4 linked regions of the Lepisosteus oculatus genome follow. The protein of the gene in region 3 interacts with the protein of the main gene of each other region in a pairwise test. Links are inferred from orthologs where the notes say so. Each region holds a gene or a part of one and is shown on either strand. Other genes may lie near its edges.

Evidence for each region.
Region 1: the proteins of cdc5l (region 3) and sfr1 interact in a two-hybrid assay, tested with the Homo sapiens proteins (2 studies listed by BioGRID and IntAct). The link is inferred for Lepisosteus oculatus from reciprocal best matches to the Homo sapiens genes CDC5L and SFR1.
Region 2: the proteins of cdc5l (region 3) and sh3bp5a interact in a two-hybrid assay, tested with the Homo sapiens proteins (2 studies listed by BioGRID and IntAct). The link is inferred for Lepisosteus oculatus from reciprocal best matches to the Homo sapiens genes CDC5L and SH3BP5.
Region 4: the proteins of cdc5l (region 3) and sptbn1 interact in binary tests that used the Homo sapiens proteins (3 or more experiments, as listed by UniProt). The link is inferred for Lepisosteus oculatus from reciprocal best matches to the Homo sapiens genes CDC5L and SPTBN1.

Annotation. Positions count from the first base shown.
Region 1 is NC_090699.1:36,349,626-36,357,633, forward strand, and holds sfr1 (swi5-dependent recombination DNA repair protein 1 homolog), read right to left. Parts: upstream 3,020-8,008; 5' UTR 2,788-3,019; intron 2,389-2,787; 5' UTR 2,369-2,388; coding exon 2,276-2,368; intron 2,269-2,275; exon of another isoform or gene 2,199-2,268; coding exon of another isoform or gene 2,190-2,198; intron 1,639-2,189; coding exon 1,219-1,638; intron 537-1,218; coding exon 345-536; 3' UTR 326-344; downstream 1-325. UniProt on the Homo sapiens protein: Component of the SWI5-SFR1 complex, a complex required for double-strand break repair via homologous recombination. Acts as a transcriptional modulator for ESR1.
Region 2 is NC_090705.1:41,678,584-41,685,578, reverse strand, and holds the start of sh3bp5a (SH3 domain-binding protein 5), read right to left. Parts: upstream 3,022-6,995; 5' UTR 2,889-3,021; intron 2,614-2,888; exon of another isoform or gene 2,462-2,613; intron 2,452-2,461; exon of another isoform or gene 2,048-2,451; intron 1,861-2,047; exon of another isoform or gene 1,829-1,860; 5' UTR 1,723-1,828; coding exon 1,609-1,722; intron 1-1,608. Other genes in the region: tRNA N(3)-methylcytidine methyltransferase METTL6, read right to left, coding at 6,201-6,340, 6,629-6,770. UniProt on the Homo sapiens protein: Functions as a guanine nucleotide exchange factor (GEF) with specificity for RAB11A and RAB25. Inhibits the auto- and transphosphorylation activity of BTK. Plays a negative regulatory role in BTK-related cytoplasmic signaling in B-cells.
Region 3 is NC_090697.1:56,000,840-56,008,506, forward strand, and holds the start of cdc5l (cell division cycle 5-like protein), read left to right. Parts: upstream 1-4,662; 5' UTR 4,663-4,797; coding exon 4,798-4,842; intron 4,843-5,548; coding exon 5,549-5,652; intron 5,653-7,667. Other genes in the region: zinc finger protein 260-like, read right to left, coding at 369-408.
Region 4 is NC_090712.1:3,063,291-3,070,459, forward strand, and holds the start of sptbn1 (spectrin beta chain, non-erythrocytic 1), read left to right. Parts: upstream 1-4,165; 5' UTR 4,166-4,318; intron 4,319-4,896; exon of another isoform or gene 4,897-4,955; intron 4,956-7,169. Other genes in the region: uncharacterized protein C2orf73, read left to right, coding at 9-115, 2,220-2,732. UniProt on the Homo sapiens protein: Fodrin, which seems to be involved in secretion, interacts with calmodulin in a calcium-dependent manner and is thus candidate for the calcium-dependent movement of the cytoskeleton at the membrane.

The sequences.
Region 1 (8,008 bases), on a different chromosome or scaffold from region 3:
AAGGTACACAATGAAGTACTGTATTTATTAACTTCTCAAAAAAATAAATAAATATTGACTTAAGGAAGACAAGATTTAATTTCAACAACACTGCCTACATTATAACAAACTGAAATAGACTTGACCAGCATATAAACGTTAATATAGTGTCCTGTCTTTAAAGATTTAGTGGAACTAATCAGTCAACAAAACATTGAAAAATATAGGCTCAATCTCAAAACCATCTGTTTTTTTCACAGAATTGAGAAACCAGACTCTTTAAAGAGAGTTAACGTTCATGTAAAGTACAAGAAAACTGTTAAGTGAACATTTCAGGAGAAAAAAATTGTTCCATTTTGTAAAGTTTATTGGTCTGAGAACTCTTCCTCTGTCCTGTTGTAGTGCAGAATGCGGTCATCCAGCCCATAGTGATCTATAAGCTGTGTGAGACTAAGCTGTCTCCCATCAGTGCAGAAGGCTGACTTTAGCTCATATAGTACTGCCTGGCTGCTGCCTCTCCACTTGTTGATTAGAAACTGTAGCTTATCCAGGTCATTCTGGAAAGAAAAATACAATATGGCCTGTAAATACTTCCATTTTCTGAAGTGTAGAAAATGCACCAGATCTGTTGAGGTTTTTCCTCAGCTTCTACAGAGATTTATCATGTCACCATAACTTGAATTCCTCTCACTTGAAATTGATTTTTCATTCTAAACATAAAAAAAGACATTTTCAGCTAATTCACACTGCAAGAAATAAAACGGACAATATTTCCATGGTACTCAATTTGCATAATCCAGTACCATGGAAATATTTTCCAAGTTTTATTTGCAATTTGCATAGTTATTACTACAGAACCGGCACAGATAAATATCACAAAATGTCCTGAAGTTTTCTTTTTTAGTTCCAATTCTCAATTACAGTTCATTTAAAATGCAATAATACTCTAGTGTTATAGTAGTTAGCTGAGTCAGCGTGCGTAAGCTGCAAAGGAACAAGTAAAGGTTTATTCCATGCTGAAAAGACAAGAAACACAATGTTTCGGCTGTGGCGCCTTCTTTGGGTGCCCTCACCTGAAGAAGGCTCCACAGCCAAAACGTTATAGTCTTATAGCATATTTTAATGTCATGTTTTCAGTCATGTAATTACATGACTTCACACAATGAGAAAGTACATCCGCTCACTGTTCAATTTACAGCACAGTACATCGGAGGATATCTGACATATTGCTTGAGATACCTTTGTTCTGTACATTCTAACCATCTTCAGTCTCCGCAGCATTTCCTCCTTTTCTCCGACTTCTTTCTTTAGCCTGTCTCTCAGCTGAAGCAGATCTATCTGTGCGGGAGGATCAGCTCTTTCTCTGGAGGAACTGCTCTGTGCTGCTTCGTTTCCACTCTCTGTGCCGGTTCTGCACACATCCCACTGTCTGGAAGTATCGGTCACCTCCGGGCTCTCCCAAGGCCTCCCTTTATTAATGCTGAGTGTGTTCCCGCCGGCACTGTCCAGGTCACGTTCGGACTTTGGAGACACTTCCTGCACCTTCGAGTCGTCCTCTGCCTCGGGTGGATCTATTTTAAGCCGTTTTGCCACCGTAAATGGGGAATGAAAAGAGCGCCTTGTTCTTTTCAGTCTTTCTTTCAGTGAAGCACTCATCGGCTAAAACCAGAACAGAAACAACCTCAGGTTGCATTCGGTTAGTCAGCGCTGTTGAAAAACATTAAAGGCAGACATCGTTTCGGAAAAGAACGCAGTGAATAAATATTATTTACAAGACGTGTCAAAATAAACAACAGTGTGGGACCTACTGTATAAATACTTAGCCAGTTGTTCAAGAGTCTTTCAGCAGTGCGTTCTGACAAGAAGACCTACAAACTGACCAATATATTAAAGGATTGAGGAGGGCTGGTTCAAATGTAATTTAAACAGACTATTTAAAACAGCTACCTCTGAAAATCCAGAGGTAAAATGGATTTAAATGGATCACAATGGCACAACATACAGACTCACTCTATAATAACCAGTAAGATGTGAGACCTTTCTGTCTCAGTATTGATCTATGTAAGCTTTTAGAATAATTGAAATGGATGTTACACAAAGGAGTGACACCAATTAAAGTAAATAGTGGTTTGCCTTTAAACCTACATTGACATGTAGCCACAATTCTGTTTCTGGGACAATAAAGTTGGTGGAAACAGCTCTACCAATACCTCAGCCATGGCAGTGTGACAGTGTAAGGAGCATAGAGTCTCATAGGAAGAGTTTAAAACCGCACACGTCTGTCTAGGTCTGGCACCTGTTTGACACTGAGGCCATGGGGTGTGGAATTCAAGGTGCTGTCTGGCGTGCAGAACACAGGCTTTGTTTTCCTTGTGTTTGGTGTCTCCATGCTGAGCTGTACAAGATTACCTAAAAAAAGCAAATGTCAAATAATAAGATTGCTTACAATACCACAGTTGACAATCAAAGCCTCACTTAATAACCCAAGTTGTTGTACAAAATATCACGACATGATCTATCTCCAGGAAACCTTGCAGGTAGTTCGCGAATAAACCTAGAAATTATCTTGTTCTACCTGAAGTACTGACATTAATTACGTAAGATGGTACTCGCCTTACATACAAAATGTTTTACACTAAGATTATAAACACGCACCTCATCTTAATATAATTTACCTCTTGCTATCTCCCCTCGAATGCCCTTCTTATTAATTGTAATTCAAGGTAATATAAATATAATATAAACTGGTTTATGTAAATAAGTGCTATTATACGTTTTTAATATTTCTTTTTTAACTTGCGTTCTTACTCGTTAAGACACCAGCAGCTGTGCTTCTCCTTGGGAAACAGGATAGTTGTCTGCATATTCTTCACGATCAATGGAGTACAAAGTCGATATTATCACAAACTATACGTACAGTACTATTCATATATTGATTTAGTGAATATATAATCAGAAATGTCACATTTTATCCGTGACACTAATAATCCAAAACACAAGCCCAACACTTGACTGTTTATCCGAAGGTAACTTCCTTCAAATTAGCCGCTACTTCCCGGTGTTGAGGGAACGCATGCGCCAAATACCACTGCTCTGTGGTAATTGTAGTTTTAATTTGAAAAGTTTGGCGCAGATTAGACTACACAGAAACTGATTTTACTTTCTTCTTTCGAACATTTCACCACAATTATAATATTTGTAATTATTTATTACATTTGTATGGTTTTCAGTTTCGAATGTTGATAAACGTCTAATGTTTTAGTAGCTGGTGGCTTTATTAATTGGTAAAATGTATTTTACAGATTTGAAAGGACAAATATGTGTAGAACAGACGTTGGTTTATCCTGCCAGTAAACGCACTTCTCATTGAAAACTGTTTCGGGCAAATATTCTCATTAAAAAAAGAAAAATAAAATAACATAATTTTATCAAAGCTTAAATGCAATGTATTTATCGATTATTTAACATTTTAATAATTATACAGATTTAGTAAAAGAGCAAACATTTCCTACTCTCCATAAAGCTTTTCTCCTTATCTTGAATATTAAAATTAAAATTAAAATTAAAATTGTCATTAAAATAACATTAATCTCAATGCACCTGTGGTTCGTTAGGGTTAAGATAACAAGCCATCCCTTGAGTGAGAAAATACAAGAATTACAATATCTGACAATACAGTGAAGCGACCTGATTTATGACAGCATCCAACCGGAAATATTTTTGGTCCACAATTTGAGTGCCCTTTATCAAAAAAAGAGGTTCATTGTTTCATGATTGTGCCTCACAAAATGCAATACGGTTGTTACCCAAACATTGCTACCAAGACCATCCACATAATCTTTATAAGGGAAATACAGTAGTACTTTATGGTATCTTTATATGCTGCATTATTATAGATCACTTTAAACTGAATTATGTACTGTAAAAATCATTTAGTTTTACGTCACAATTGCGTCTTTGGTTAAAAAAGTATTGGAATGCATTTTTATTCTTGAACGTTTTAAAAAATAGAAATTCGATAAAAATATAATTAAAACAAAAAACAATTTCAAGGGATTCCTACACAGCAGCCATATCACTCTGCAACTCACAGCTGGCAGCCCCCTAAAGCTAAGCAGGTGTGAACCTGGTCAGTACCTGGATGGGAGAGCTCCTGGGAAAAACTAAGGTTGCTGCTGGAAGCGGTATTAGTGGGGCCAGAAGGGTGCGCTCACTCTGTGGCCCATGTGGGTCCTAATGCCCCAGTAAGTGATGGGGACTTCTTCGGATGAGACGTAAAACCTAGGTCCTGACTCTCAGTGGTCATTAAAAATCCCAGGGTGTTTCTTGAAAAGAATAGGGGTGTTAACTGGTGTCCTGACCAAATTTGCCTTTGGCCCTTACCAGTCATGGCTTCCTAATAATCCTATTTATAAATTGGCTTCATTACTCTGCTCTCCTCTCCACTGATCGCTGATGTGTGGTGAGCGTTCTGGCATCACTATGGCTGCCGTCGCATCATCCAGGTGGGGCTGCACATTGGTGGTGGCGGAGGGGAGTCCCCATTACCTGTAAAGCTTTTTGAATGGTGTGTCCAGAAAAGCACTATATAAGTGTAAGCAGTTATTATTATTATTATTATTACACTTTTTAAATTTTTAAAAATTTTGATTCCATGCTATTTCAATGCACAGAGTGGTTATTTAGTTATGGGCCCTATTACATCAAGAACTAAAATAAAGGCAAAATCTGAACATGTTGAAAATTAAAACGCATTCCACAGGTATTTCTTTAAAGGGAAAATATTGGACTTCTTAATTAGTGCTCTGTAGCTGGAAAACTCTCAGAAGCATTATCTTCAAAATTCAAAATTGATGAGAATTACAAAAGAGGGACATTTATTTCACGGTGTCAACCATAACTGGTCCAGCGTTAGCAATTTTTCTTAAAGTAAAATATATGTTCAAATAATATGGGCCTTATTAAAACACATGTTTTGTATACTGTATGTATATGATTATTACCTAGAAAATAGTAAAAAATTAAGGAATAAGATCAATTTTATAGCTCCCAAGTTTCTCAGTTTCTTGTGCTCGTAACTTTTGTGAATCGATGGGAGAGGGAGACTTGTTGCCTGTTCTTTGCCTTGAGTGACTTTTTGCTTTTTGCTGCATGCCAAAAGATTTACACCCTGTGTGTCTCACAATGATAGTGTGCTGTATTCCTGTGGTACAGTCAGTGTTTTTTTCATACCCTGCAGGAGAAAGGTGGGGATCGGAACCTTGCCCTGCCTTGACTTGAATTTCATAGTTTGAACACACTCATTTTACCTACAGTACCTCGGGTGTCTGATTTTATTGTTTTTATTCATTTTCCTTTTAAAACCAGCTTGAATGTAGCTTTGTGTATTTTATGGTGTGTTGCACGTACAGTACCAATTAATGCATGTTTTAAGTGTGAACATAGATAGGCTGTTTATGAGGCTATCAAGTAGTATGAGGATTTAGAATTCCCACCTGCTAGTGTTTGGTGGCCTATTGAACTAGCCACTTCATATTAGTGAAGTATACAGAGACAGATCAGCTGTTACATTTGACAAAAATTACCTGTGTCATCACAACTGATGGCCTGACAGTTATGTCCATTAAGTATTATGTGCTGCAGCACCTCCTGACTTGAATCTTGTCAGATTCTGACAGAATCTTTTCACAAACAAGTAAAGCTTTATCAGTTTTCCTTTGAAAAGTTGATATGGTCAGTTGAGAAACATGACCCATCACGCCCATCACTACTACTCAAAAGGTTTTGAGCCACTTCATCTCAGACTTCAGTTTTACTCCATATGCTACATTTTATATTTTAAATCCAGCTAGTACCAGTAAGATACTGTAAGACTTTTATCTCCTTGTTGCCTTCGTCTTTCAAGCTCTTCGTTTAAAGGTACCCTGTGTTGTGGGATTGGTTTGAGGGCTTCAAAAATGCTTGCTTGGAGTTTTCTAGTTTATGACTGTAATACAAAAAAAAAGGTGTTCATGCATGTAGACTCCTACTGTTCACTCTAAAACAATGAGTCATCTTTGTGTGATGAATGGAAAGTGAAGCACTTGAATGCAAGGTTCCAGTTCACTGTTTTGTTTTCATTCCTGGTCAGGCTCAGTGAAACTGAATGGACATATTTCACCCATCTGCAGAAGCAGCCTGGTTATACCATAGTCATACTTCCTTCAAGTGTTTTATATCATATGTAGCTAATGTGAAATCTGCTAATGAATGGAACAACAAATCATAAAAGTACATAAAACGTTGTATATGTACTGATCACATGTATGATGTATGTACTGTATACTGAGTGCAGCGACTTTATGCACAGTATTTACATTCCTTTGGTGGGGACATGGTACTTGTACAGCATTAGTGTTAGAGCAGAAAAAATTGAGAAGTTATACTATTCTTCAGTTTATTTATTTTTATATTTGCATATTATGCTTTTACATTTGCAAGTAAGTTTACATTTACATTTATATTTTAACAGGTACTGTGCAACACAACAGATAACGTTCATTAATTACTGTACATCAAATAAATGAAATGTGAACAGTATTTCTCTCCTAACAATACTGAGATAGTCTCCGAAATGTGGTCTTTTAAAAAATTAGAGGGTGAGCAAAGGATGAAGGTAACATGGAATTCATGAACTGTTGACAGCAAAGCTTCTTTGCAAAGTAGTATTACACAAACCGGGTTAGAAATTGTGAATCAGGTGAAAATAGGACAAACAGCTGAAAAAAAATTGTCAGATGAAATGTGAAAGCTTTCTTCTTACTGAACTGTAAATTCCAAGTCCTGGTATTCAGTACCTGCTCTTACAAGTTTTATTTCAGCTCCTGTCTAGTAAAAGAACAGCAAGGTTGACATAAATAATAATTTCACCCGAAGACACTTGAAGTCACAGCTTGCCAGATATGAATACCAAACCCTGAAAGCACTGCTGTGTAAATCTTTATTAAAAAAATTAAAGCAATGATTTCTTCAGCTACCAATTTGTTTTTTAAACCTTTTAAGTGTAAATTGCCTCTCTTCCTGTAAGTATAAAAATCTAATTAGATTATTCACCTAATTAAATATTAAGTTCTCCATCTGTACAGGATGGTTTGATCATGACTTGTCAGTTGTGGACTTGTGTAATGTTGGCACGCGATTTTGACAAGTTGATATATGCAGATGATGGGGTGTTGGACACCACTTGAAGTGATGGAGGTGTTATTAAAGGCAAGGCATCCACTCGCCAGAAGCTAGTGCCTCTTAGCATTGGGAGGAACTAAACCAGAAGATACAGGCACTCCAGGATGTAAGAACCATTCCAGGAATGAAATGATGAAGATGCTGCAAGGTTTTATTGTCTCCCACACAAACTGCTTTGGGGAAACGATGTGGGCTGTTCACAACATTCAAGGACACCAGTCTGCTTTCTGCCCTGATCATGCAGTCTAGGTTTCATTAAAACAATCCAATGCTGTGAAGACTTAGAACATGGATAACATGGATATAAATGTGATTCCTTATTTTGCAGTTAGTTCTTGTTTATAAAAGAAAAAAATAATGTGAAAATTGTTGCAAATCTATTTTTCTTACCTCTTAACATTTGTGTTATAATTGTATATCGTGCAACTAGATTAAAGTTTATGGCAGAAACTGCAAGCACAATACAGTTTATAGTACAGACATGCTCATTTTCTAAGTGAAGTGTGAATTTAAGCAATTTGCATAGACATGATAGAAGGTTTTGCAGACTTCAAAGCTCACAGATCAACAGACTGTTCATTTTAAAGTCAAGGCTTAGCCTCAGACTGTGTGTGGTATGGAATGATTAAGAGTGTTATAGCCCAGTATCATGCCTTCTGGTCTAATAGGAGCTCAGGTCCATTGTCAGTGGGTAACGTCCTGTTACCCTGAACTGCAACAGGACAAGATATTGTGAGAATCAGGTGGCCATATGACGTAAGTTAATGTACGTTTGGTCTGCCATCCTATTGGCTATTCAGTGTCTTTA
Region 2 (6,995 bases), on a different chromosome or scaffold from region 3:
GTGGAAAGGAAACAAGACGCATACGGAGCTTGTTAAATCTGGCAAAGAAAGCTTTGATTAAACATTTTCCCAGAGACACAGTGTAAAACTGGCTTAAAAAAAAAACAAAACGCCATTTCCTACCAGCTGTTACTACCCGTCCGCCACTGCAAGACTTACAGGCAAGGAAGGAAAAGCAGTCGCTGTTTAATTTCATTAGTAATGTTCATTAAGACCTGTATGTCAGCTACAAAACACAAACTTGAGCACGGAGCAGCTGTCACTAAAAACTATGAATTCAATAACATGAAAATCCTCACTTTAAAAAGATGTCTTTTTTTTTCGCCGTTTTCCTTGCACCAAAGACCAGCAGATCTATAAAATATTCACGGAGCTAAAACCCGCACTAGAAACATTTGAATAAAACGCGTTCGGACACAAGAGTGACAGATTCACAGTTTAGTTGTCTTAATGCAGCGCTAACTCCACTGTGTTCTTTCTTCAGCTCCATTGCTGGAGATGGTAATTAAGCAATTACAACGCCCCAAAGACACCATATCATAAGAGTACAGCCAGCACTCCTCTTAAAAAGAGAGCTCATCCCACCGACAGCTCCAAATGAAAGAATATTTCATGCTTCTGTGGGCAGATGTAAAACAAATGTGAGAACTCTGAAAGGTACACATATTACAGAAAAGAGAAGGACGGTATAGCAGAATTGGTTAGAAAAGAAAGAGCAGTTAAAGAAATGCCCAGTTACTCCAACAATGTAATGATTAATTCAAAGCACAAAGCGTTGACTGACACTGGTCAGTATGAATTGACAACACACTGCAAGCAGCATTCTTTCCTGTTCTTATCAATTACATGAACTGGATGACAAAAGCAATAAAAAGGCTCACAACCCTAGCAAGCATAAAAACAACGACCTCTCTAGCATGTACGCGTAATCCAGTCTGCTTGCATACTTTTGTTGGCGTCTGTCCGTTAACAAAGAGCAGAAAAACGGCTTGAGTTGACAGACACTGATAGCATCAGTACAGTAATTAAGCGCGGCTGCAAGATTAATTCCGCTAAATCAAATGTAGTACTATTGAGGACCATTACGGTGCAAAAACGGAGCTTCTGTAGAAGGGCTAATGACATGGAATTAAAAATGATTCCCTTTATCTCATCAAGATCGTAGGGTTAGTGTTAAGGGCCTACTGTTATAATAAAAAAAAGACTTTGTTTTATTCTCGTTTATTAGGAATAGATCGACTCAAACGTGGCGATACATCCTAGTCCATGACAACATTTGGCCGATAAGACCGACTCTGCTCCGCGGCCACGGCGCACTGACTGCGCCCGGAGACAGCGAAGCTCCGCGCCGGGGAGATGCTGTTCGGGCACAGGGAGGCTGAAAGACTCTTGACGGGGCAACACAGACCCGCCACCAGTCAGTTGTCAGCCACATTACAGCCCCGCAAGGCACAAACCTGAGCCCACACGGGCAACAGGATACACACGCCACCGCCAATCCATACAGTGCGTCCACGTCTTCAGAGCAGGTCAGCGCAACACAACGACGCAAAAAAAAAAAACACACCACCAAACTCGGGAATATATATATATATTGCATCCGCGTACCTGAATTCTAGGGTCGACTTCTTCTTCTTCTGCTGCTGCTTCCTCCTCTTCTTCTTCTTCATCCGGCGACTCAATCTCTTCGTCTGATTTGGGTCCCTTTTCCACGCTGTCCATTTTGCTGAATGCAGTAATGTCTTTTCCCTTTCCCCAGGTCGGAAACTGGGGAGGCTGAGGTCGTTCTCCAAGCGCCGCCGCGACCACTCTGGTTCCCTCCACACCACTTCAGCAATAAGGCATATGGGGAAAAGATATCTTTAAACACAAACGCAAGGAGTTAAGGATTAGCTGAGGTCTGCAACATTCAAAACCCTCAAGGAAGCTGAAACACAGGAGGTGCCCCTTTCTCCGGACAAACTGGCTTGAAATAAGAACCTGAGCGCTCCGCCTATCCCCGCCCCCCTTTCCAGATTTTGCTAGGCAATCCCCGAGATGGACGTACAGAAATATTGTAATTTTCCTGCCGGGCTCTTATTTGGCTCCGCGAATCGAAGGGAACGGCGCACGACGCAGGAAGCAAGCCGCCGTCCTCCGTGTCATCTGCGGCCCCGCACGGTGTGGCGACGCCCGCTGCGCTCCGACTTGATCCAGAAGGCTTCCCCTCTCGTCTCCGGATCCTTCTGCCGGCCCCCCCCTCCCTCCAAGCACACAAAAGCGATGGCGATGAAATCGGAAAAAAACGATTAACCCTTTCGACCGGGCCGGCCGCCTATTGTAATTAATGGATGTCCTCCCTGTTTTGCTATGCTGTTAATAATCGGATCGCGCACTCCTCTCCGTTTACATCTCAGCGCAAATCACATGGCAATAAACTGCTATATTAAGCACGCAGAGGTCCCAACTAATCCTGCAGTACCTGTCTTCCGCTCTCTTGAGTTATAGTACACACTGCAGTAATTACAGCAGTCATGTCCTGTAATCTCACTGACAGGGGGGTTACTAAACCCCACGGATAGGAGAGAGTTGAAGCCGACGTTCCCCAAGTTTTCTCCAGAGGAAAAGAGTGGTCTGTCTCTCCCTAGCGGTCGGTAGACGGAGCACATCTGAAACCTAAATTAAGCAATGACGGAAGGGCTTTATTGTGAACTGGCGTTGCGCAATTGCTCTGTAATGCTGTTGGTCTTATACTGTACACCGGTATAGGAAAAAATGAAAAGCTGAGTATAGAAAAGAAGAGTGTATAAAACAGCAGCCTCCTCCTGATTGCTGTTATTGCTCTATTCAGTTTGTTTTATTTTGGTCTCGTATCTCTGGTGTGTAGCAAACATAATGATATAAATTACCTGAAGAAGGCTTCTCAGCCGAAACGTTGTGTTTTCTCTCTTCCCTTTTCAGCATGGAATAAACCTGTTACTTGTTCCTTGGCAGACTACGCACGCTGACGCAGCTCCCCATCTGAACTGATCATATAAATGACTCCCTGAACTCTGAATTCAATACTGTTAAGTCATGACGTTCAACATACTGGATGGGAGAGTTTGTTTACAATCTCTGGTGCTGTCCTGAAGAGGTTCCGGTCATACCCTGCCTCTTGTTACACGGTGATCTTCTTGTTTCTCTTGGGTTTACTTCTGAGGCTGTTAGGTCTGGCGCTTCACAGGGTTCAACACCAGGCGCTCTGCTATTTCAGTACTTATTCGGTATTATTTGCTATTCAGTATTAACCTGTACATTACAGTTTCTCCTTGGTGCAATACTAAAATTACGTTGTCAGAATTGCATTTCTATGAAGATGACAGTCAAATTAATGTCCACATTAAAGCCAAAATAGTTGTTTCAGCACTCTACTCATTTCTGGTGCCAATTTGCTGTTACAACTGCCATATTGCTCTCTCTTATCTACTAACCCCACTGTTACACACTCTCCTATCTACTAACCCCACGGTTACACACTCTCCTATCACTAACACCACTCTTATATGGCACAATATTCACACGTAATTCTGTATCTCTACCGTTCTGTGTTGTCAAGAGCGGTTCTGAAATAGGAGGCACACCAGGCCACATCATTAAAGACCCCTCTGGGAGCATTTGACCCACAGATCCTAGAGATAGGGGTAGGATTGTGATGAAAAAGTATGAAGTTTAAGCAGCTGTGGATAGCCGTAGAGAGCTTTTATCAGGCAAAAACAGAGAACTTTGGAAACCTGAAAAAGTCTGATCCGAATAGGTGGTTTTATTAAAATTGTGGGAGTACTGGTTAGAGCCCCTGGTTTGTAATTAGGAATTACATCCAGGAATTAAATCAAATCCCAGATGATGCACTGCTGTAATACAGTACAAAATACAATTTTTCAATTTTCCTCCAGGGCCACTGTGCTGTCAATTTATACCAAACATCTCTTCCTCTTAATAAGGCTCTTTTTGTTGTTGGGATTATTTGGTAACCAAGGAAACAATAATGGGCGTAATGTGTTCTTCATCCAAGGACAGGCAAAATGTTTTTTTATTTGGTGAGCTCTTAGATCAGTTACAAAAGCTGGGTACAGATTTCTGTGAATAGTGCTGGAATCCGCCACTGTCTACGCAGAAAACCCATGACCTCAGATTAATGTGTCATGATCATGGAGGCAACGCCTTCTCCCTGCAGCTGTGCCGTGAGCTTCTGGCGCAGAGAGACCTGCTTTAGTCAGCAGCTCCCTTGTTCACCACGAACTTCAAGCCCTGCTTGCACTGAGTGGTCCTGCTGCACACTTGGCTGGACCACACTTTTCTCCCCGACTAGACCCCAGACTTTCAGCTCAGCTCACACAGCCCGCAGCTACAACCTCTTTACCTGAGACGACAAATCTGAGGGCAGGACAAGGGCCAGACTGAAAGTTTGTGTACCTCTGCTGAAGGTCCCTAAAGTGGCAGCAAAGCAATTTGATTTGATGTCATACTGGACTTGTTCTCCAACAAATCCCGATACAACAGGATGTAAAGCATTCCAACTCCCCACCTCTTCCTTCCCTACTTTCCTACACGATCTACTGTACTTCCGGCATAAACGTACTTCAGTCTCCACCACAAGCTCACGTTCGATTTTCTGGTTGAATCTGTGAGCTGGATCAATTACTGTACACATCCGAAAACGGTCCATTCCCAATCACTTCCTATCCCTACAAAAAGTTCACCAATAATTTGCTTGTGTATGTAACAGAGTGTGTTGATTCTTGTGCCAACGGTAGGTAGGCAATTTCCATATTTGAGCTGCAGGGGCGCATCAGGGCGGAGCTCATCCTGGTTTCTGGAGGGTTAAGCAGAGTAGAGCAAGAGCAAGTGACATCCCCCAGGACGGGAGAGAAAATCAGGGATTACTCCCAGCAGTGCCAGTCCCCCATTTACACAGCTGGGCGGGCTGGAGCCACTGGGGTACAGTGCCTCTCTCAGGGGTACAGCAGCACTGTCTGCATGAGTACTGGCACTTACCCACTGGGCTTCCCACTCAGAGTCCAAGACAGCCATTCAAAATGAAGACTGAAACTGACAGGTTGTGTGGGGCTTCATTTCAACTTTAGACCATGGAAATGATTTTCTAAACTGGACTCATACAGTCAACCAGGCAACTAAAAACACATGTTTCAGCGTCTCCTGCCGCCTGGGAGTAATATGCCCTGCTCCTTCTCTCAGCTTTCATACTCCCGTCCTGTAATGCACATCCTCTAAAGGAATATCGAACTGGCCTTGCATCCGAAACCTGTCTGAACAGGAAGGACATAATCGAGGATGTGACATTTCACTGCGAGCAAGAGGCACCAGTGGTGCCAGACAGGACGACAGGACTAGACGCGTCCCAAAAAAAGCCCTATCCCGGGCTCTGGAGGCATGACAGCCAGACCACGAGTTACTGGGAAGGAAAACGCACATCACAAACACCACAGCTCGGGCACACAGAATTCCTTGTGGATATCACCAGGAAGGAAAAAGGTGTGTGCTGAGATTTAGAGTTCAAGGATGAGAATATATAAAGTACCTTTCTGCCTGGACAAAGATGACCCACACCTTGCCTTGTTTTCTGCAGATACTTGTAGCACATCAAATAACCTAAAAAATGCTAAAAACATCATTGAACATCAAAATTCGATATCGACAGAGCAGAGTTTGCTGGAGCAATCTGGACTCTAGGGATCTGAACCCCTGTCCCAGCCGTCAGGAGAACACAGTTCTAACCATTACTCCACACTGCATTCTTTTACAGCATCTGTGGAAACACCTTAGCCCTGTAATCTTCCAGACTGGCTCAACAGTGTGCTGGAAGATCCGTGAGATGTTTAATCCTCTTATCCTTGCTTTTTTTTTTATTTAACAAAAACAGTACAGTGGAAACACGATACACATGTTTCATTACAGGTCTTTGCATACACATCAAAAGATAATTTAAATAGAGAATTCTTCTTTCCGAGATAAAATCACTTGAGCTGTGAAAACCTTAAGGCTCCCTTCCACAAGCAGGTAAAGTGTTGTATTTAAAATGGACATGAAATCCTATGCTGGTCAGAAGAATGAGATCGGTTAGAATTCTGCCAAGAAATTCACAAATAAAATCCCTCCTGGGTTTTTTCAGATACAAAGTCTTTTCTTTCCGAGTAGCAGCATCACCATCAGGCTGTTTGTCAGAGTGGCTTCTTGAATTTGCCTTGAAGAAAAACTCTTGGGACACAAAGCCCCTCTCTCTTGTTGACAGTTTCTCTGAGGACGTACTCGTTCACCAGGGTCTCGTAACCCACCGCTGTAAACAGATCCTCCAGGAACTCTAGACAGAAAAGTACAAGGAACAAAATAAAAGGCAGGTTTTACACACTATAAAACATCACATATAGAGAAAGCCTTTCATTCTTTCTATTTTTATATAACTATGTATGTAGTAGTTATAGCTATACAGTACAGCAAATTTGTTTTGTGTTTATGTCTTTTTTGTATAAATCCTATCTTGCCCCTGCTTAGGCTTGGCTACTAAAATGTGTTTTAATTTTTTTTAGAGAACCTGAAGTTGAAAGGGTGACAGAACAGCATCGATGGCTTGAGAATGTCTGCTACTCACCTTTAGAAAAGAAGAACGATCTGGTACCATCTTGCCTCACATAGAAGTTCTCTCCAAGCTTGCTCCCGGATTTAAACCTCAACATGGCGTGATCGTGCAGTCCGTAGTCCCTGAACAAGACAGTGCCCCCTGGTTTCAAGACCTGCCCACCCCGATGAAGAAAAACAAAACAAAATATCATATTGTCTTACAGCGTGGAACTTTGACATTATAGAGGACTTTGTGTTGATGAGTGGCAAAAAGTCTTAGTTAAATACATCATGGTTCCATGCTGTAACACAATAAAACGTAAAAAAGTCCAAGGGGGGTGAATACTTTTGCAAGGCACTGTATATGGAGAAGATTTAATGGAGAAAGATTCTAGCTT
Region 3 (7,667 bases):
TATTTATCACCATCAGTCATTTAGGACAACATTGGATCATTCAGAGATCCTCGCTGAACTTCTGGAGTGAGTTTGCTGCACTGAAAGTAAAGGGGCCGAATAATTTTGCACGCCCCACTTTTCATTTTTTTATTAGTTAAAAAAGTTTCAAAAATCCAATAGATTTCGTTCCACTTCACAATTGTGTCCCACTTGTTGGTGATTCTTCACATAAAATAAAAAAATTATATCTTTATGTTTGAAGCCTGAAATGTGGCAAAAGGTTGAAAAGTTCAAGGGGGCCGAATACTTTCGCAAGGCACTGTAAGTTTCATGTGATCAAGCACTGCCCACTGCTCAATAAAAGGTCTTTACTTCTACAGACTTACCAGTGAAGAGCTGGACATTGCCTTTCTGTTCACTGTCCATCTTCACTCCAAACTTTCATGAAATGTATATCTGGAATGGCATTCATACTTATCCAGCCACTGTCTTACATTCCTAAAAAAAGACAAAACACTCCCATCAGGTGTATTGTTTAAACTTAAAACTTAGCTGTAAACATACTAAACAGCTACGCACAACTAAAAATTAATATTCTTGTAAATGTATCTAATGCAAATTAGTAGTTAAATGGTAAAATAGCTGTCTGACAATGTTTTAATGTGGTTGTATAATTTATTCACGAAACACTGGTGCTGTGAACTTGCATTGTTTAGATTGTGAATTGTACCTGTATGCTTTCTTTTGCAGTTTGTAGGCACTTAAAAGTGAATGAGTAGCTGAGGCTTTGGCAATATTTTTCAAACCATACATACTCTGTATAAACACGTTTCCTGCAGTAACACAACTGATACCAATAAATGTTGAGCTTTTATTTTTTATTTTTTTTATTTTGAGCTCTACCCTAAATTAACTGTATAAATTGATTATCAATGAAACTACACAATCTATAATTATGATTTCTTCCGTAGTCCCTCGCTTACTCTACATACAGTATCAAGTTCACGTTTATTTGTCATACCAGCCATATACAAGTATACAGTGGAACGAAATATCGAGTATACGATGTAGATTAAATAACAGCAGCAACAAAGCATGGTAAGACACATACCACTGAGATGCTTTTGTGCATAAAAACGGTGCATGACATCACCCTGCGCAAACAAATACAATATATAGCATGCTTCACAGTTGTGCTATTCCATCTTACTTTTGTTTCTTTTAGATACGAAGGAAATCCAGAGGAACAACAAATCTCTGTTCACCGGGGTAACGCATAACTCTCCACTCCTGCACCAGAAAAGACGGGTTCATTTCGCTTTCACTGCAGAGTAGTCTACAAAATCATATACATACTGTAGCGATAAGATAAAAACAAACTAACGTATTTAATATTTCAACGCCTTTAACTGGATCTACTCATTTGAATACAACTATGGAGTAAACATTAAATCACAAAATGAACAAGAGAAACTTATTTTTTCTTCAAAACCTTTTTTAACACGATTCGTTGCACAGAAAAAAAATACATTTGAGTCAGAAACACCGACTTAACTACCTACCTTTTAAATTCAGGCTACTAAGTCTTACAACCCTACAGTACTTCACGTGGGCATGCTAAATTATAAAACGAATGCTGCATATTTATTAAATTATTTTTTTTACCACAAGCCTTAACTGCTCAGAATTCTTCCAAGTTGTTGCGAGGGGAAGATATCAAATATGAATCGATACAACTGTGAGTAAATTGAAGTAAAGCTAACTACACTCACACTTCCTCACATCCCTCAGAGTTCACGTCTGCGCAGAATCGGCGCGATACCTGTCGCGGCTGCTAACAGAGCGGAAGAGCTGCTTAGCCAACCATGGTTGGCGTTTCACTCCCCGTGCTACTGCCACCTAGTCTGGGAATGTAAATGTCCTTCGATTCATTTTTCCAGTGGGTTACATACTAGATAGGCAAAGTCATTCTAAAGTTAAGCAAATATTAATGTGTGGAAAAAAGGTGGAACACTAAAATACTATGTTACGGATACGGATATACGGATGTTTCAGTAATGTACTCATGCAAAGTATTGCCACTATAATTCACCTGAACCTTATCCATACTACATTGAGATAGTCACAGTACTAGAAGTTATTGAGAAAAAAAGCTCTTTCTCATAGAAATGGTCTGCAGGCCACAGAGGGTGGAAACAAGGGACCCAAGAACAGGTTGAGAACATGCAAACTCCACACAGAACACACCCTAGCCTAGAATTAAAGACAGGATACCTAGAGCAGTGAAGCACCAGCAGTAACCATCACACTGCCATTATAAGGACAATTACCTCACTATATATACTTCATATAGGTCTTTCCCTTTCCCACTGTCTATACAGTGTCTTGTAAAAGAATTAACCCTCAGTAAAATTCCCACTTTTTCTGAGCTTGCAATCATGACACTTTCAAATTGGAGTTTATATTTATAATCTGCTCCAAACTGAGAGATCTAAAAAAATGCTGATGATATGTAGATTCTGAAGACAGTCAGTAGATTCTCAATTGCTTAAGTATTCATCCTCTTTTCAACTGCAACTCTAAAGTTGCTGAAGCTTTTTCATGTGAAGATTTTTCAGGTGAAAATAAATATATTTGATAGGTCTCAAAAATGGTGTAATATTCTCTGTCTATGCATAATCAAAGAGGTTTAACATGACTTTGGAGTAAATATCTTTGTTTCTGCAAGTCCCCTTAGGTGGATATTGAATTTAATGTCATGTGTCTCGTAGTGATATAAGCAATTGAGAAAAAAGACCAAAGAGATAAAATGATGGAGAGTCACAGACTAGAAGAAGGTTACTTATCGCTTTTAGTTCAGTGAATTCCAACATTAAGAAGTATAGTGTGCATCATACCACCCAGATACTACTTAGATCATACTGCAAATTACTGTAAGTTCATTTATAAAAAGTCACATACCTATACTTTTTTAATTAATCAAAATTTCATGTTAGAAGGTTTTGATCAATATTTCTGCAAGACACGATAATCTTGCACATAATAGTTAAAACATGTACTGTAACTATTTTATATGTTTTATATGACAGGAATTCTACTGTAAGTTCATTTATAAAAAGTCACATACCTATACTTTTTTAATTAATCAAATTTCATATTAGAAGGTTTTGATCAATATTTCTGCAAGACACGATAATCTTGCAACATAATAGTTAAAACATGTACTGTAACTATTTTATATGTTTTATACTCCACGGCCGAAACGTTGTGTTCTCTTTCTTCTTTTTTTCAGCATGGAATAAACCTATTACTTGTTCCTTTGCAGCCTACGCATGCTGACGCAGCTACCCACCGGAATTATTTTATGTGTATTTTATATTATAGCACTTATTATATGTCTTATATCTGATTATCAGATGCCCTGGATCTGACTGCCTGTTTGTGATGGATGAACCATTGAACTTTGTGTTGTAATTAGATTTGTTAAAAACATGCACATGGTCTCACAGATAATTGTAAATAACATTCCAAAGCCCAAACTGAATGGAAATTGGGCAGACATACCATAATGGAATATGTTATTTTATAATAAAACTTGATTTCTTACTGTTAGGTGACAACAGCAGTTAGCTTTATTTCAGATATCACCTTGCACTTGCTGGGGCATTGATCTGGCACTGAGGTATGGCAGAAAATATTTCATCCTTAAGGCTTTGAGAAAGCATTGTATCTCCAAGGGGCATTCATTATACTGTACTCTAGTACTGTATATAGTTTTTCCCTTTCTGTTTCTCTTTTTCATTTAGATAAATCTTGTAGAAGGATTATTTGACATTTTATTCTAAACAGTAACCTCATCTGGAAGAGGACTTGTTTCCTTTTTCTCCAGCTTTTTATTCTCTCCGGTATTTTGGAAAACTCTGTTACTTGTGGTAAAGGATTCAAGTGCACATGAAATATGTCAGTTTATAAAATCAATCCACTGAATTTCTAATCACTTTGTCTAATTCAGGGGGCGGTGGAGACAGAGACAATGCCGGTATGCAATGGGCGCAAGGTGGGAGTACACCCTGGATGTGATGCATCCCAGAAGTTTTCCCAGAAGTCAATTAACCTACCACTGTGTCTTTAGACTGTGAGAGGAAACTGGAGCACCCAGCAGAAACTTGCACAAACACTGGAATCACATATAAACGTCACGCAGATGGCACCCCATGTCTGGAACTGGACCCACGCTCCCCTCTTATAAAAAGGTAAAAATATTAATTTATACACGGGAAATAATTTTCTCACATATTCTAATATATTATAATATGCGTCTTGTACCACATATCTCCAAAAATAACGTTAAGGTATACATTTTTATATTTCTCCTCTACATGAGATGTCAGCAAAATTATATCATTTCGAATCATCTGAATTAATTTCAGCACTTTTATGAGATGTGTATGCTAGCAGTTACGCTAAGAGGTTACGTTCTTGGGATACTTTTTCATCTCCCAAATTATCATAACTGAAGCTACATTAAAACAGAATTAAAAGAGAATGCATACTACTTAGCGCATTTACTGTTAATTTTACCGGGTGCTCTACACTGCAACTTTAGAAGGCTGTTTTAATACATCCAGTCCAGAAGGGGAGCTGTAGCTATTGTCTTTTCTTGAGATTACCATGGTGAGGCGCATTATCTTGAGGAGCCATATTGAAACTGTGCAGCACGATCGTTCTGTGGATAGTATATCTTTGAATCTTTTATTTTTGTTTTATTTTATTTTTCTTTCCAGGAGCTTGAAATATTAACATTTAACTTTAAACATGCCGCGTATTATGATCAAAGGTGGTGTGTGGCGAAATACCGAGGTAATGTAACGGCCTTATTTTATAGCTTGGCATGGCAAATGAAAACATTGAAGTACAGATTGTAGTTATGTGTAATTTTTATTCTTCTATCGGGATAACATAAATTAGAATGATTTTCCTGTTTGCCTGTGATTTGATCATGTTTCATGAGTTGCATCTAGCTACTGCCAATACTTACCTTTTGCTCGCAAAATTCATGGCCTAAGTTCAGTGATGTGCAACTATGTCAGCTTTACCTATTTTGTGCTTTTCGTTGAATTGTGGCATGTTATGTAATTCCAAAACGTTTGATTTATTTCTTTATATCTTAAATTAAGTGTGTTGTAAGGGTATCCAATAAACTGCAATTGTGTTGAGAAAACATAGTAAAAATACTATGATGATGTTGGTTCTAGCGGAGACCTAGCCACGTTATAGTACTGTACGATAACAGCAACGTAAGTTAACTAAAACATGCTGATGAAATGTTGTTTGATCTACTGCTGACCACGAGTTTTCTGTTAGCTACTTTAATCATTTCCGATTTGTTAAAACATTTAATTTGTTTAACCATTTGGAGAAAAAAAACAGCTAATATTAACAGTTCTTTTTTGTTTTTGTACATCAGGTATAACATTTGCCAGTAGTGTCAAGCTTAAATTTGTCTTACGTATATTATCTCGTAAAGAAATGAGCCTAAAAATGCATCCTGTTCCTTTAATTTTAGGATGAAATCCTTAAAGCAGCGGTTATGAAATATGGCAAAAACCAATGGTCTCGGATTGCCTCACTGTTGCACAGAAAGTCTGCAAAACAATGCAAAGCCCGATGGTGAGTACAGGCTTTCATGAGCTGGAGTAGCACTGTAGGGTTAAATCTTTGATTCTAACACCAACGTATTCTTGTTTGATTCACTCAGGGTTTTTTAATATCGAATGCTTTGCTGTAAGAGTACAGTAGGTTGTAATAGCTTTTTCCCACTTGCGATGGTAGGTGTCGTCTGTAAGAATTCCAAAAAAACACTTCTAAAAGGTCTTAAAGGAACAAGTTAAAGGTTTATTCCATGCTGAAAAGAAAGAAAGGAAACACAATGTTTTTGGCTTCTGTAGCCTTCTGCGGGTGTGAGGTCTTATAGGCACATTATTTTAAAAAAAGCTATTTTTATGTAATTTCAGCTAAATGCTTGTTCTACTTGTGCACCCTTTAGTGTTGTGAAGGTCAGTTTCGGTGGCCTGCAGACATCTGCATCTGTGGAGGAGCACTGCCAAATTGGAGGCAGGGTGGTGTAGCAGTTAGCATTTAGCTTAGCTAACCTAGCACTGCAGTTAGCACTTAACACAGCTGAGGCTTAGCCTTAAGGTTCTGGGTTGGATTTTGTATTAGGGCACATTATGTGAGCATGTTTTGAATGCTACCTGTGTTCACATGGTTTTACTCTAGGAACTCTGGCTTCCATGCCCATTGCAGTGAAAAACTAATGATTGGCAATGCTGAGCTAATCATACCAGTTAGTAGCACGATGACCAGGAACTTGGAGTACCTCTAGTGCTTTTCCTTCTCTAGTATAGCAATACTAACGTTCTGATTAAAAAACGAACAGCAGCAAGCCATTTGACAACGCCCTTTAGCATGTCATAGAATGTGTCACTAGCCCTGACACCACTTCGCTGACACCAGGTGTCCTGATCATCTTCTCATCTGCTGGAATTGGAACAGTCTTGAGACCACTCTGCCTCACATTTTAATCAATTTGGTTGTCCTCCTGCGGAAACTTTTAAATATGTTTTCAAACGTTCGCATGTAATCATTTAAATGTTTTTAGAAAATATGTTATCTAAAATAGAACAGTATAGTGGCCCAGAGGTTAGCATTGCTGCCTTGCAGTTCTGGGGGCCCTGGGGTCTATTCCAGACCTGGAGTGATATCTACATGGGCTTTTTATGTTAACTCCCTGTTCTTGTGGGTTGCCTCCGGTTGCTCCAGTTTGCTCCCACAATCTAAAAACATACTAGTAGGTGAACTTAGGAATATTAGTCCTGGTGTACGTGCATGGGTACATGTCTATTTTTTTGTCTGTCCGGCCTGTGTTGGACTGGCGTGCCATCCAAAATTTACCCTACCTTTTCACCCGTTCCTTGTTGGGATAGGCTCTGGCTCCCCTGTAACCCTGAATTGGAAGCAACACTTAGAAAATGGCTGTTATTTAAGATAAAGCTTCATAAATGTGTAAGCATGCAAAACTATAATACGTAAAAGAGCATCCCTCATGCTTCTGTTAACATCTGTCATCAGTTATCACATCCAGTAGTTTGTGTAACAACACTCATGCATTCTCTGTGCTGCACTAATGTTATATTTGGCAGTTTTCGTTACCAGATTGGCTTTAATGGTCAAAAGCACAGTGTTAAGGGTGCTCAACCAGTAAAGGGGTTTGCATAGGTGCAGATTGAGTTCTAAAACCTAGGTATCTTTGGATCGAGATGTCATTAACCATCTGAGACCAGGATTTCCCAAGTGATGGAGCACAGTTGACTCACAGCTGGTAAGCGTAAGGTTGGGATTAGCTGCCCAGAGCTCTTGGAAGTTCTTTGGTAGCCCCTGTGGTGTTCCAGGGACATGCAGACTTGTGTGGCTGTCTCTAACAGATCATGCAGTCAGCTCTGATCCTAAGGTAGGGAAGAAACTGCCTGCTACTCCTTATTCTCCCTTGTGTGCAGTTGCTATGCCAAGACCTGAGAAATGCACAATTGGCATTTCCATGTTGGGTGGGTATACAGCAAAATTAATTGAAAGAGAGCAAAACGCCCTTATAACTTAATTTTCATGCACTGTTTTTCTTTTATTGA
Region 4 (7,169 bases), on a different chromosome or scaffold from region 3:
TTCTGTAGTTCCCACGGTGAGTCCTATTGCACATACCAAGGTTTTGCAGGAGCAGATGTCGTTTATTCATCAGTATGATTCCAGGAAGTTACAAAACCAACCTTATCAGGGAAAGGTAAGGAATTTGGCATTGTATATTTAGAAAAGCCTGGATAAGGAATTCTGTTCATAAAATGTCAATACCTTAACCAGAACCACAAGCATGACTGTAATTTTCGTTTTTTTCTTCTTTAAACCTAAATTGTTTCCAACAAGCAGTGGGTTAGTAGCTGTAGTTGGCACATCTGTCATATACAATATATGATTTAATCTAGACTTTCTTTACTATATTAATGCTACTTACTGTATATGACCTTAAGTGCATTAGAATTTGGACTTGTGAGTCACACCTCCGTGAATTTTGAAGTGTCTGATACAGACATTGCATACCTATGCTAATGGTTATTATTCTAAAATAATAATCCTTTCCTTTTTGAATCTTAACAATACGCTATTGTAGTAGTAGCACTCACACTTAAAAAGGAGTCTTCAAGGCTTGAAATGAGAGGACTGTTTTAATTGTGTCGAAGCTCGGTTCATTTCAACTGGAGAAAAAACAATTATAGTCCATTCATTTTAATTGCCAGTGTGTTGGTAGAAGCAGGGTTGCCTTGACGACGTTTGAAAACTTGAGTTTCCACATGCGTTCACATTCTTCTTTTACTCTCCATAGGAAAAGGCTGCACGTTGTTTCTTGGCCTGTGATCCTTAGCCTCGATACTTTTAGATCATTTCAGCCTCTTCTCGACTCTCTAGCTCCTGTACCTGTGATCAAACCATAGCAGATGTTGTAGGTCTCCTCACATCATCACAAAACCTCTGGATTAGGAATAGATTATCTAAATTAAGACTGAATCTGACCAATTTAACTCTTCTTCACCAATGATTTAAGGAGATTTGGGGAAACCTGCTCTATGGTTAAACTCCTTGAGCCTACTTGGCTTCTTTTACAGTAGTTCAGGTGGGGAGCTGTGTCAGCATGCATAGTCTGCAAAGGAACAAGTAATAGGTTTATTCCCTGCTGAAAAGAGAAGAAAGAAAACACAACGTTTTCGGCCTTCCCAAAGAAGGCTCCACAGCCAAAACGTTGTCTTTTCTTTCTTCTCTTTTCAGAATGGAATAAACCTATTACTTGTTCTTTTAAATGTATCTGTTTCCATTGCATACTGACATCACACTGTCAATTATTGCAAACCATCATTGAGAACTGGACCAAATCAAATGCTCAGCTCACCTGCCAGTCACAAGGTACAGACCCATTGCTTGAAAGAGGATTTTCCTCAGTGAACATGAAAGAAGCCTCATGCAAAGAAAATTGATTTTCCAAGTAGTGGATGTGTACTTGGAGTAGTACAGAGGCATGCCTTTTCCTTGGGCAATTGATTCATGACAATGGTTTTCTTTTTTAATTTTGCTTTCTGGTTTTTATATTTGCTCATCTGGCAGTGGTTTCATTTGTCAAAGAATGGTTCTAAAAAAAGTATACTACATGTAAATTATTATTTTATTGCAGGTGAAAGAGTAAACCTGGTTTCTATTATAATGAAACTTCTCTGGGAGATGACCTTTACCTTCATGTTTGCGATATTCATACCCCATTTCCGATGAGCTAAAGAGGTATCTCAGATGTTGCAGCATCATGTTGTGATCTTGACTCATGGTATTTTAGATTTCCTTAAGACAACATCCAGCCGTTTCTGATTCATATAGAAAAATCGATTATAATTCAGTTTTCAGAGCTCGAGTGGTTCGGTTTTAAAAAACAAAAACGAATAAAAAGTCTGTATCCATAGAAACCTTATGTGCGGGGGATGAAATGGAATGGGACTCCAGCACAAATGCAATGGAAGGCAGATGCATTCGTGTGATAAATGTTGAAGGGCCTTAAAGTGCAGGAAAGTCCCTCCTCCCCTCTCTTTTTGCGTTTGGTTTACTGCCTCTGTTCAGGTTTTCCTCCCATACATCCATTCCATGAATAGCGTGGCGTGACAGAATAGCCATTATTCGCTGCTGCCCCCACAACTACCCACCCTCTCTCAGGCTTACCGCCAGTGGAGTGGGAGAGGGACGCAAGTGGAAACCTGCCAGCCCTTGAACTCAGAAATGAACTCAGGCACAGCTGCGCGGCTCAGGCCCGCTCACTCTTCCCTGGTTAACTTCAAGCTTGTTTCCCTTTCCAGCGCCACGGAGCCTTTGTGTGGACAGAGATAAAGCCGGCGAGCAAGCCGAGGGCTCCCGGCGGAGCAGACGCATTCCTGACTGCTGAGAGGTCGCGCTGTGTACCGGCGCAGCAGAAGGCCCAGGGAGGAAGCCGGATGACCTCACCAGAGCTGGTCTCGCAGCATCCTCGGCAGATGTCGGACGCTGGAGCTGGCTTCTCTAAAGGGGGCCTGGAAGAGGCCACCCGGGCCTATCCCAGAATTCCAGCCCGAGAGAAAACGAGGCAAGGCGTTCCGCAGACAGCTGGACTGGACAGCGTTCCTTCCAAAAAGGAGGCGGTTCCCTCTCAGGGAACTCCAGCTGCTCCTCGAGAGAAATTCCAGGACCGGACCGACAGCACATATACCAACTTTAGTGCTGTACCCAAAGCTGCTGCAGTAATCAAGCAGCCTTTAGCTGATGCACAAGTGGGCCTGCTTGATCCAAGCGCTGACAATAACCCCAGACACCAGCTGACACCAGTAGGGAGTTAGCTTGAACAGTGGAAGCATTTTGATGGCAGCAGCTGCACTCCCCTTTGATCTGACATATTAGATTGTATCGATCTGGCTGCTGTATTAGGCTGCATTATTCTGTCCTTGATTGTTTTCCTAACATCTGTGTGCTTATTAAAATGTTAGTGCATGTACATTCAGCATCTTAAGAGAAGGGTTAAAGTTGTTCCTGTAAACAGTTGTGTAATGTACTGTAATGCAGAAAATCTTGTTTTAAATCAGGAAAGCATCTATCTTATGCATTAGGATGGAAAACCTCACATTTTGTTATGTGCATGGCTTATTCCAGAAAGCATGCATAGTAGCAGTTGGAAACAGTTTGTTGATTTTGGATTTTTTTTTGCTTCTTTCTCAGTATGGTTTTTCTGCTATTTGGTTTGCAGTAATTAGATTTGCTTTACAGCAGATGGTCTGTGGCTCTGCTCTGGCCCTGGAAGTACTCCTGCACTTGTATGCTGCTGTTGACAATGTTTTGAATCGGCTTCAGCACTGTCAACCAGAGTAGCTGGAACAATAACCATGCGGGCTGGGCAGGGCAGCAGCTAAGTTAAGTACAGAGGAAGTACACATGAGATGACTTCAAGGGGGCTTCTTGTAACCATGGAAACCGAGCCATGCTGAGATAACCAACTGTGTGGCTGCATGGATTAAAACTGTTATTTTTAATTTTCCAAAGAAATCTTGTGAAGTGGAAAACAGATGATTTTAGGTACAACAAGAATTGAACAGTATGCAAGATAAGGAAAGACATCATGTTGGGCAAGATATCAGCTTATAAAACAAGACTGGTGATTGCAGAAGGAGAAGTAGCAAGTGAGTCAAGGTTATGAGCATACTTCATGCATCATAACTTCAGAGTCGTGTGTGGCAATACAAGATTATATTCTAGCTGTAAAATCATCTGTCCTCTCATCTGGCCACCTGGTTTTTTTTTTATAACAATCTGATATTGCACAGTCATTTTCTGAATCCGAATAAAAGCCATACCTTCACCGTGTGGCGTGTGTGTAACATGATCAAATATGCCATTGACCTGCGCCAGGTAGCGACCTGAAGAGACTGAATGTAACCTCGTCGACTGTTCTGCTGCTCAGGAAGATGTTTACCAGCTTGAGGAGAGCTGGAGCCAGGAACCAGGCGAATCACTTCTCTTAGCGATGTTATTATTAACTATCCTGAAAAATTGCCACGTTTATATAGATATGTGTAGCAGCAGTCAAGGCCCGTTGCCTGGAAACGACATTGACTTGTAATCAGACACAATCTGCTTCTGCACCTCCATCCCATACTCTGTTTCCCTGCTCCTCACTGCTCATGTAACTAACTGGCTTGCGCGAAAGCGGGGACTGATTTTTTTTTCTTGGTTCGAGCGTGAGCGCTAGTGTGCTGTTATCTCTCCGCCCCTCTGTGAATCAGTGCAGCAGTTGGCTTTTGCTGGTGTAGCAGAGGAGGCAGTGCGGATTCCTGTAGTCACTCCCTGCGATTCACATCCAGCCTCCCTGCTTGCGTTTGCGCGTATCGTGGGCTTTTCTAGGTGCTGGACATTATCGTGTGTTCCTTGGTGGGTAAGTATCGCTCGCCGCTTTTATGGTAAATAAAAAAGGTTTGCGCATTGGTCGGCTCTCCGCTGGTGGGGTTGGAAACAATGCAGACCCACACCTTCGTTAAGAACAGACCGACTGCCGTAAACATTGCTACTGCTGAGTTAAAAATGGCTTTACTGTATGATGCTGTTAGTTACGCAGGAACAAACGGGAGACTTCGAAGGGAGCGCAGCTTTCCGTTTATCGATTGAAAAATCGCACAAATGTGCGAACTTGCACGGATTCTTTGCCGCAGAAAATAGGATACAGCGCCAGGTCCGAGCTTGCAGTTTCGAATTTCGTGTTTTTTCCCCTCTTTCCCCTTTGGGTTTTCCAGAAAATGAAGTCGCTTTATTTCTCAAGCGCGAGAGACGCGTAACGGCGGTGCACCGGCGTGCTCATTTTCGTCCGATTTTGCGGTGTTTGCGGTGTTATTTTGACGTTTTTGTAGGCACGCAGGATCAGCCGACACCACGGCAACATGGACGTTTTCCTACCAGGTTGGGATTATAACGGTACAGTATAGTAAGGATGGAAACAGGCGTGGTCGTGCGGATCTGATTGCTGAGCTAGGAGGCACCGTGTGTGTCGCGGTTAAGCAGCTTGCTTCGGTAATTCAGTAGGTAACAGCTATTTTGTGACGATATTTGGAAATGCGTGGGTTCCCCACGATTCCTCGCCGTATTTTGAGGTGAAATAATTCGACTTCGAGTGTTTGTTGAGTCAGTTGTCGTAATACGATTAGTTTTCAGAAGAACTGCAGCCCCTTTTCGAGCTCTGCCAGGTTGTGTTGGTGCCTCGCACACGCACAGGTGTGTTTTCCAGTGTGCAGGATGCTGGCGCGGCGTTCGCGTTCTGCGGTGTTTTTTTCCTGCGAGGTACAGCTCGCAGTGCGCTTTAAAATATTAATGTAGCAACGCGCGGCGTTAGATCGGGAGGGTTGCCTTCGAAGGTGCATTGAAACTATCGGATCAGGTCTGAGTGAGCGAGGCTGAAGAGCACCCTGCGACCTAAATTAGTCACCTTCGTAGGTAAGCACTTTCCACAGGTTGCTCGTTCTCCCCGGGGACTCTGAAACACCCCGCCCATCTGGGTCAACATTTCTTGCAGAGCGCTGTGCTGGTATAACGTATTCTCGGATAAAAACCCAGTTCCTTCTGGGTTTGAATTCGGAGGCGTTGCTGCTGCTGCGTGATGCCGTATTTATGGTTTTTTTTTTCTTCCCCGGCAGTGCAGGAGGAGGTGTGCTGAGTAAAACGTTGCAATACTGCAGCTCCAATGCGGTCAGATGGAGTCCAGCCTGCGGCTCCTGAGCCTTTATCTGACGCTACGGGCAGCACTGGGGTGGGGTTATACGCGAGCTACGTTAGGGTGCAGATGCGTGGGATTTTTGGTGGGGAAAAAAGGCAAGAACTCGTCAGCGATCAACGAAATATATAACCGCGCACATAAATTTCTGTTGAAAAACACGGGCTTTGGCCTCATTGAGATTGAAAAGAGCAGTAACACTGACCTGCTCTCGGCCGGTTCGAAGGGCAGCTGTGAACCGGGGTATATCGATGGGAGTGCCGTGTCAGCGTGGAAGCGTTTGCTTTTTATACTGCTTCATAAAATGTATATCTCACCCAAACTCACTAGCGCAGTTGAGGCCTCGGGAATGGCGTGTTGTGCTGGATAGGAAGGGGAAACGTTAAAAGACTGCATGAATGTAGCTGCACCTGTTTCTTTGTGACATGACTGTGCCAGCAGTTTGCCGGTCCCCGAGTGGAACGTGGAACTGACCTTCAGGATTTCGCGACTCTGTACCCGCCGCGGTCAGCACGCTGCACATAGTCGTTGTTAGGAGAAAAACAAATCAATTCTTCAAAATGGAGATGCAGGAGCAGCAGGGCTCAACGTCGGCCGGAGAGGAAAGGCTTGTTTTAAAGTGTCTCGCAGGTGGTGTGCTTGTCCGACGTGCGAGGTCTGAGATGAGTGAATGGGAGTCCTCTGTGTCAGGTTCTTCAACTAGGCACTAGAGAGGTTTGCAAAGCGTGTTGTCAGCCGAAGCTACTCTGAGCTTTTTCCTTGGGCACCTAGACACACGACTAGCTGGAGATGCACGAGTGTTGAACCCCTCAAAGGGGTATTTCCGAAACCTTGCAAGGGTCAGTTCATTTCCACTTGGGTGACTTGCAGTTTGAATGTCAACTCTGATGTTCTGGGACACCCACCCAGCCGTCCACCTACAGCAGAAGGGAGTTTTGTTTCTGCCTGCATGTCGCCTTTATAATAGTTGTGTCCAAGGTCTATTGCATTATACTGTACATATTAATGCTGTTTATAAAAGGATTGACACACATTGAAACAAATATGTACAGTTTGTGCACCAGCTGTAAGACTGTGGGAAGCTGACTAGGCTCAATTTTTGGACAGGCTTTAAAAAGGAATTTACAGAATAAAAATCATTTGATCCATGTTGACAAAGTAACAAGAATGGAGGATAATTATGTCTAAAGTTTTTGATGGATGTAAACATGTTTTACATACATTTATTGTGGAAGCACGAAAGACTATAGTAAGTCTTGGACCTTGTTTTTCAAAGAGAAAGACCTATTGTCATTCGATTCAGCGTGAACACTTGGTATTTTTACACTTTTCTCCCTGCCTGTAAACATACTGTATTGACCAGCCTTGTTCATCAACAGTATGTGTTGATATATGTAGGTCAGGAGTGAACCATGAAAAACCTTTTCAGCTGAGACTCTCTCATTTAAAATAGGGGGCAGATTCAGCTGCTGTTAGGTTTAACACTGATGTTGTACATCTGGGATAATTAGAAGTAAAACCTCAG